Linked DNA regions of Coturnix japonica. The protein of the gene in region 1 purifies or fractionates together with the protein of each later gene. This does not show direct contact. Links are inferred from orthologs where the notes say so. Each region holds a gene or a part of one and is shown on either strand. Other genes may lie near its edges.

Region 1 (4,330 bases):
AGAAGGTCAAGTGATATGACTGCTGAGGCAGCACAACCACAGCTGCTTTCCAGATGAACCACCTACATGGTGCGGGGATTGTACTTCTAAGTATTCCAAGGAAGACGATGAGAACAATCAACAACCTCACAACAGGTGGGGATACAGACAGTAAAGTGAACTTGTCACAGCATACAAGAAAGTAGATCGAGTGCTTGCCGACTTCTCCAAAAGTTGGGAAAAAGGAAAGAAGTGAATAAATAAACCAACAAAAAAAGAAGACAGCGCTTTTGCTTATATTTTCCCTTCGCTGTCTTGTTCACCAGTTTCTCCAACTCTGTCCACCTCACCAACATGTTGTCACTTGAAAACTCAAACTTACAAACAGAAGAACTATGTTCTTAGCCTCACCCACGGAGGTTGGCAAGATTACTGAGTGTTTCATTTTTCATCTAGAAAAGACAGCCTCTTCAATGCTTTTCATTACAAGCTTCACATTTTCTTCAGATCATCTCCCCCCTCAAAAAAAAAAATAAAAAAAAATATATTTACGGTCATCATGTGTGTATATATATATATATATATATATATATATATATATGGTCATTACTACCACAATCCTGAGAAAGCTGAGAAACAAACATGCAGGATGTAGAGTCAGCCCAACAATGCCACCCCTTCAGCCAGCAAGAGCACTTCTTCCATGTTTCTATCCTTCAATTCCCAATCACTGACCTACAGTTAGGCCCCCACTCTCCAGAGATTAAACTCTCAGTAAAAGCAAAAATCGATCCACAAACAACTAATCCACTTCTTTTTTCTTTAATTTTTATTATTATTTTTAAAGGTACTTACCTTCACCTTTATTGTTACACAAGGATTTCTCTCTTATACTTTGGAAGAACCACAACACCTATCAGCTGTAGTTCATATTTTAGCTAATAATCTCAAATAGATTAAGCACTTTTTTTGTTGTTGTTTAAAACACGCTATCAAGATTCAAAAGAAAAAATAAGAGATAAACCAAATTACACTGGACTTCAATAACCAGTCTAAAAGAATACCACATAGCACTAATTACAAAGAAAATATCCACGAAACAGTCACTTATACGTGGTAGTTCACAGAAGGTTTAAGTTACATAATGTTCATCATTTCAGGTCAACTTGTAGTTGTGTACTTCCCAAGTTAGTATTCACTACATTTCAATCACCCGTGATTTCCGTAAATTGCATTACAGCATAAAATTGGTCAAAAATGATCAGCAGTTTAGAAAAGAGATTGCAAAAGAGACAGCTTGACCACCCACAAGTCCAAAAGCATCAATAATTTTAGCGCCTCCAATAAAGTTTGCACTTACATGGTGAAACAATGTGAGTGATTTTAAAATTAAACGGAGCAGTTTATCACCTCAGGTGTTCTGAAATACAGGCTTTTGCCCAAGGAACTGAGCACCTTGCCTGCCTAGCAAGAATGACCACGGTCAATGGCCTACCAGAACCTTTCAGACAAGCCAACACTTCCAACACAAGTCAACCAAGCAAAAGAATAAGCAGCGGTCACAGTTAACTTCAGCCCGATGTCCAACAAACAGTTTTTCTGGTCATTCTTACGCCAATCAAAACTGACAACCCATTGTCAGTCATTGAACAAATCCAGAAAGATATAATGTTCAAGTACTGGCCACAACACGGTCTAAAGGCCCAACTCTTCGAGCCTGACAGAACTTTTCCTGAAGTCAAAGCAAAGCCGGGGCAATTTTCCTCTATGGAGAGCAGTCTCTAAATTTCTCACCTACTTCCAGAGATCATCCCTTCAAGACCGGCTTAAGCCATGCAACGAGGGTGGGGAAACTTGCCAAAGCAATTAGCCACGATCTATCTGCCTTGGGAACATAGGCCTCCAGTCTTCCCGTCCAGCAGTTCAGCACCTCCACTCAGCACTCGACTCACATAGAACACGATCTCTAAAGGGGAGCCTTCCACCTCAACACAGGGATGCAATCCCACCAGTGGGAGACACCACCAGCACGGGAAGCTATCGCCTTCTGTCAAGCGTCCTGAAGGCCAGCCGGCTGCTTTGACCTTAGCATTCCAGCCCATGGATATAAATATTTTTTATAGAGCACTGCCGAGATGCCTATTACCCACCAGATAAAAGCATTCTTGTTCGGTGGAAGACTATTTATTCAACCGAAAGACAAGAAAACGACAACCTCATCTCGCTCCCAGGGATGACTTCTTGCAAAAATAAAAACAAGGAAGTTAAATCCAAGAGGACCATCATGCTTTTCAATTAAGGGCAAGGATGTGAAATTGACACACTCTCGGGACAGGAAATTCGAAGTCTCACCCTCCCGTGCCCCCCAACGCCGGCGGGCGGGGGATGGTGTGCGGAGCCCCGCTCCTCCTCGCACCGCCCCGAGTTCTCATCGCGGCGTTTCGCCCGGCGGCGGCGCACGATGGTGGCACGGGACTCCGGGACGGACACGGATCGGGGCCGAGCCCCCCCCTCCGCCCGACGCCCGGCGAGAACTCGGAGCGGCACAGCGGGCTGCCCGGGGGGCTGTCAGGGCGCTCCCTCCCCGCTGCCGCCGGGCCGAAGTGCCGTGCGGGCGGCTGCGTGCCGCGGGGAAGGGGGGGGGGGGGGGGGAGCGCAGGCCACGGGCAGCACTTCGCCGTCTTCTCCGTTCGCTCACATTTCCGTCCTCCCCCGGCGGAACCGGGGAGGGGAGCGGGGCGGGGGGCCGGCGGCGGTCGGGGCCCGGCGGACGGGGGAGATCGGAGCACCGCGTCCCCCCGCAGCCGCGGGCGGGGCAGGGTGGCCGGCGGGGCCGGGGGCAGGGCGGACGCCCGGGGGCTGTTACCTCGTAGAGTTCCTCGGAAGCCATGCTGGGAGCCTCACAAGGTGGAGTTGGGTGCTGGTTTGGAAATACTTTGTTCCACTTGGTGTCCGTGTGGCCTCCTCTTCTCCCTCCTCCTCCCCCGTCTTCTCCGTCGCTCTCCTCCTCCTCCTCCTCCTGCTGCTGCTCCTGTCCTCCTCCTGCTCCTCTTCTTCTTCTTCTTCTTCTTCTTCTTCTTTTTCTCCCTCCTCCTCCTCCTCCTCCTCCTCCTCCTCCTCCCTGCGCGTCTCTCTCCAGCGCAGCTAGCAGCTCCGCTCGCTCCGTGCCGCTGAGGTGCTGCTGCTGCTGCTGCTGCTGCTGCTGGCGGCGGGGCTGTGCGCACCGCAGCTGCGCAACTCGCTCGCTCCCCGCTCGCCCTCGCTCTCTCCCCCTCGCGCACCCCGCCGGGCGGGCACGCACGCACACACACGCGCGTTCACATACACACACACGCGCGTTCACATACACACACACACACACACACACACCCGGGCGCGCACACGCGGGGCGGGCGGGCGCGCACACGGCGGCGCGCCCCGCACCCCCACCCCGCTTGTCCCCGGCCGGCTCGCTCGCTCGCTCCCTCCCCAGGAACACTAATCGAGCGCAGAGACAGCGCCACACGTAACCACTCCGCCCCGGCTACCGCCGCCCCCAGCACCACCATCCTCCTCCTCCTCCTCCTCCCCCCACCGGGCTTTGATCTCCCATTGTCCGCCCGGCAGGGTCCGCGGGCGGTCGGGGGGCTCGGAGCAGCCGCTGCCCGAAGCTGCGGGACGAGCGCGGAGTTCCGAGTCGCCCTCCCGCACCCGCCCCGCTCCGACCCCCGCCGCCCTCTGGGCCCAGCCCGTGGCGAGTGTCCCCGTGGGTTTTCCAACCCGACGCCAGTTGGCAGAAGGTCTGTCTGAACCAAGGACGTGGCGAATGTAGAAGGGAAATGGGCGAGGGGAACGGCCGGTCACACAGAATCACACACAGAATCACAGAATGACCCGGGTTGGAAAGGACCTCAAGGATCATGTAGTTCCAACCCCCCTGCCTGGCAGGGCCACCAAACACACACATTTACTAGATCAGGTGTCCCCACCGATCGTTGCCGACCGCAAGCGCCAGACTTGCATCTGACAAGTGTTTGCGGTGTAGGGAAGGCCCCACTGAGGCCTCGCAGGCGTGAGGGTCAAAGGAAGACAGCTGAGCTCTTGTCTTTCTTGGTGCCGGCATGAATTACTCAATGCAACTTGCCACCCGACTATCTCATTTAGGGTGTTCCATGGGGAACTGTGCAAATAAGGTGTCTTATAGTCAACTGCCAACTTGATGGACTGGATGCCTTGTTGTGCCAAGTCAGACACGAAGAGTCACTCCTTCAAGAGCAGATTCTGCAAGGTGGTGTTTCTGGTCTTAAAAGGTAGAAGGGTGGGACAAAACCAGTCAGCCCAAGGTCAGGACAAAAGCTATACCAAATGGAGA
Region 2 (3,808 bases), on another chromosome or scaffold:
AGAGAGCAGCAGCAACAAAGTGGTGAGCTTATCGAAATGGGGTTGAAATCCACGTGTGGATGCTGAGTGTGCAAGCAAGAATACTTTCAGGATGTAACTGTGTGTTGTAAATGTGGACAGTCTCAACTGCTTCACAGCTGAGTGAGGGAAAACAGAGTTTTATTAGGAAGGACTAAAACTGATGGATGCATCCACTTGTGCCTTCACTTTTCATAGCCTGCTGTGTATCTCAAGCCGTTCTAAACACAAACATTGGGTGGGTCGTTTTTAAGGCAGTCACTGCTGGAGCATTAAGCAGTGCCAGCCGGCCTGCCTTCCATGCTTCTGCAGCGAGAGATAAGGTGGCAGGGAGGCAGAGTGGGGCTGCAGCACTGCCTGTGTCCACCCCTCACCCCACGGCACTCCCAGTGGCTGGCTGCAGCCCCAGCGCTGCCCCAGCATGGCTCTGTGTACATGTTGGCTCATTTCTCCTAGACAGTGAAATAGAAGAGGAGTCTGAAGAAGATGAAGATTATATTCCCTCAGAAGACTGGAAAAAGGTAAATATTAAGGTCGGTTATCAAACTCAGTGTTCTGTGAATAATGAGCTGAGCTGCTGCCTAGTAACTTTGATCTAAAGATCTCATAACTCTTCTCCCTTTTTTTCTCAACAAATGTGAGTGTTTTTGTAGCAATAATGTTAAAGACAGTGAAAAGTGTGTTTTTTTCTAATGCTTATTTACAGTTGTTTTAGATTTTGAGCGATGAAAGCTTTAAGAGAGAAAGGATGATACAGACATATTTTCACTTGCTAACAAAAAACTGCAAGGCTGGGGTTGCTTAACTTTTGGTGTCTGTTATTTCCAAACAGGAAATCATGGTGGGCTCTATGTTTCAAGCTGAAATTCCAGCTGGCATATGCAGATACAAAGAGAATGAAAAAGGTGAGCCTCAGCATTGCTTGCTACTGTGTGTCGGTTCATTTCCTAGTGGGAAACAATAACAGATATGTTGCACTCACATCACATGTCTTGTGGAATGTAACAGCTCTTTCAAATGAAGAATAGAACCATCATCCCAGACTGTAGCTCATCGTGTACTTCAACTCTAGAGCTTGAGACTTGGAAGGGTAAAAGATAGGTGGTATTGCTGTCCTATCGAGTCCTTGCATTCTAACCTGGTAGTTGAGCCAAACTTTTCGTATCAGTTATGTTAACCTCTTCACGTGGTTTGTTCCGTTTATGTGAAATGGATAGTAAAGAAATGATGGTGCTGGATTAACCTGTCATAGAGATGAAATGGTGCCAGCAGCTTTGTTTTCACATCTTACAACTCTTCAATCATCATTAAAGAACTTCTTGTTCTACTACTTGAGTGTTTTCCAGGAGCTCTTTTCCTCTTACAAGCAGAGCCTTTGGCAGTATGCTGTTAATACAATGAAGCAAGGAAAGGCAGACTCACATAAACCCAGCTTGAGCTTAAAAGCAGGAATTTCCCTGCTCACTCAACCCATTACCAAGAATTTGTTCACACTGCAGGTTGGTTTGAGACTGCAGCTTTTGTATGTTAGTTTTAAACTAACCAGCAGAAACAGTGCAGCCCCAGAACCTGAGAACATACTCGAGTGGTGACAGTTGTCTTGCTCTAGGTGCCAGGTTGCTGTAGCTGTACTGCGGCCTGGTCCCAACAGAAAATGGAAACGTGGTCCCTCCTGGTCTTGGCCAAAAACAGGCCAACAGTGGGGCTGACACTGAGAAGAACGTAGCTTAAAACCAAGTGAGAATTCAGGAGCTTCTGTGAAAAAGGGAAAATGGTAAATTAGAAAATACAGATACATTAAACGCAACTTTTTAGCTGTGAGGAAGTTGCTCCTTGCATGCTTTGCTGCTATTGTCTAAAAATAGAGTTGGAGTTACGTATTTACCTGGGATGTGGCAAATTATGCTTTATGGATCAGTCACCTGCTCTCTCACATGTTTACTCAGCTCTGAATGGCTTCTGGCCTCCAGCAATAAAAAAGGGCTGCTTTATGCACTGCACTAACCTATGTAGAGCAGTTTCTCATAGCCTTGCGCACAGGTCTGTGCAGGATGCAGAACCTAAGCCATGGGCTAAAACTGTTGAGGAAGAAAGTTAAATTTTCACCAGTGTTCTGGGGTTGTTGTAGTTCTGTGTATCAGTGGGGTTTGTTGTCTGTTGCCACTTCTTTTCCTTTTCAGTGTTTTAAATCTTTTTGCCAGGGTTCCAACTGGAATATGAATGCAACGTAGTTAAAGAGTTCAAAAATAAATATCTGGGACTGTATGTTGAGTATTTTTTCATGCACACATCTCATCATTCTCGTTCTTCAAGAAGTCTAGTCCTCTTGGATCCCCCCCCTTATAAACAAGTGCACAAAAGTACTAGCTCTGAAGATGAACCATGTTGCTTTTTGGCTGCTCTGACATGCTCTTGTGAGAAAGGGTGAGCCCAGTGTGCTGCATGAAGCTAATGGTTCTCGGCTGGGCCTGGAGGACCAGCAGCTGCCATTAGAGAATTTCAACCAGCAGAATTCAAAGATGTGCTTTCAGAAGGCTTTGTTTCTCTTCTGAAAGTTTTGCTTGCTGCCATCAGTAAAACTGTGATGCTTAAATAGAAGTGTAGGGTGGGGAGTTCTGGGCTCTGGTTCTGCTGCCTTGTGATTAAGTAGCATCTGTCAGGAGGACGCACAGGTGGAATTCGTGGAGTATCATGTTCCCAGAATCCAGAGCAGAGATTGAAAGACAGGGTAAGGTGTAGTGTGTTACCCATGGGATCATGTTTGTGAGCTGGTCTTTCACCTGCCCTGAGGTGTGGATTGATGCTGATGCTCCGAGGCTCCATCAGTGCTAGCTTTACAGGAGAGGATAAGCTTCCATATTGCTGTTTCAGCTTGCTTCTCTTTTTCCTCTGCTTCCTGCAGTGTATGAGAATGATGACCAGCTGTTGTGGAATCCTGATGTCTTGCCAGAAGATAAAGTGATTGAGTTCCTAAACGAGGCATCACGGCGCACAGGTGATGAGAAGGGCCTGGATGCCATTCCTGAGGGATCGCATATTAAGGACAACGAGCAGGTACGTGGTGAGAGGTGGCATTTGTAGTTTAGTATTACAGAATGAATTATCCCTTTATTTTATTATAATCCCCACAATTAAAATTGGGCTTGAAACAGCTTATTTATTGCTTTTGGAAGTAGAAATATCATGGGTTCCTTCCTCTCGACAAATTCTGGACTGCTAACTTTGACTTAACCTTGTGTTAGGCATCAGCATGTGGTTTTGTGTGTAAGTAATCGCGCGTGAGTTCTTTCAATTGCAGTTTTTTTGAAACTTCATGAATTTTCTTTAAAGAAGTCAATTTTGGAAATGTGTGCAGTGGGTGAAAGTGTTGAAATACTTCACTTGAGTTTATGCTTGGTTGCGTAGGTAAGAGCTGTGGAAATTTAACCAGGAAGTGCTGTCTTAAATTGTAATGCAGCCCTTCAAACAGTTCATTTTTCACCTTTTTTGAAGTAAGTCTTAATACTTTATGAAGGATGTTTCTGTGGCACAGTGTGAAATCAGTGTTATTTAGAATACTAAACATATGTCTTTTTGTCTTTGCAGGCGTTGTATGAACTGGTTAAGTGCAATTTTGATACTGAAGAATCTTTACGAAGGCTGAGGTTTAATGTGAAAGCAGCCAGAGGTGAGCACACACACTGCTTGAGCTCTTACAGTGTTACCTCTCCTTTTGCTGCATGGGTCCTGCACACACAGGTGTTCTGTTACACTGTGACTGCATGCAAGCATGACGTAGCAGTGTTCATTC

Evidence for each region.
Region 2: the proteins of CDYL (region 1) and MIER1 purify together in Homo sapiens (co-immunoprecipitation; 3 studies listed by BioGRID and IntAct, counting the BioPlex papers as one, with this or other methods). This does not show direct contact. The link is inferred for Coturnix japonica from reciprocal best matches to the Homo sapiens genes CDYL and MIER1.

What each region holds. Positions count from the first base shown.
Region 1 is NC_029517.1:63,734,669-63,738,998, reverse strand, and holds the start of CDYL (chromodomain Y-like protein), read right to left. Parts: upstream 3,043-4,330; 5' UTR 2,870-3,042; coding exon 2,846-2,869; intron 1-2,845.
Region 2 is NC_029523.1:25,756,704-25,760,511, forward strand, and holds part of MIER1 (mesoderm induction early response protein 1), read left to right. Parts: intron 1-474; coding exon 475-551; intron 552-850; coding exon 851-923; intron 924-2,920; coding exon 2,921-3,072; intron 3,073-3,603; coding exon 3,604-3,685; intron 3,686-3,808. UniProt on the Homo sapiens protein: Transcriptional repressor regulating the expression of a number of genes including SP1 target genes. Probably functions through recruitment of HDAC1 a histone deacetylase involved in chromatin silencing.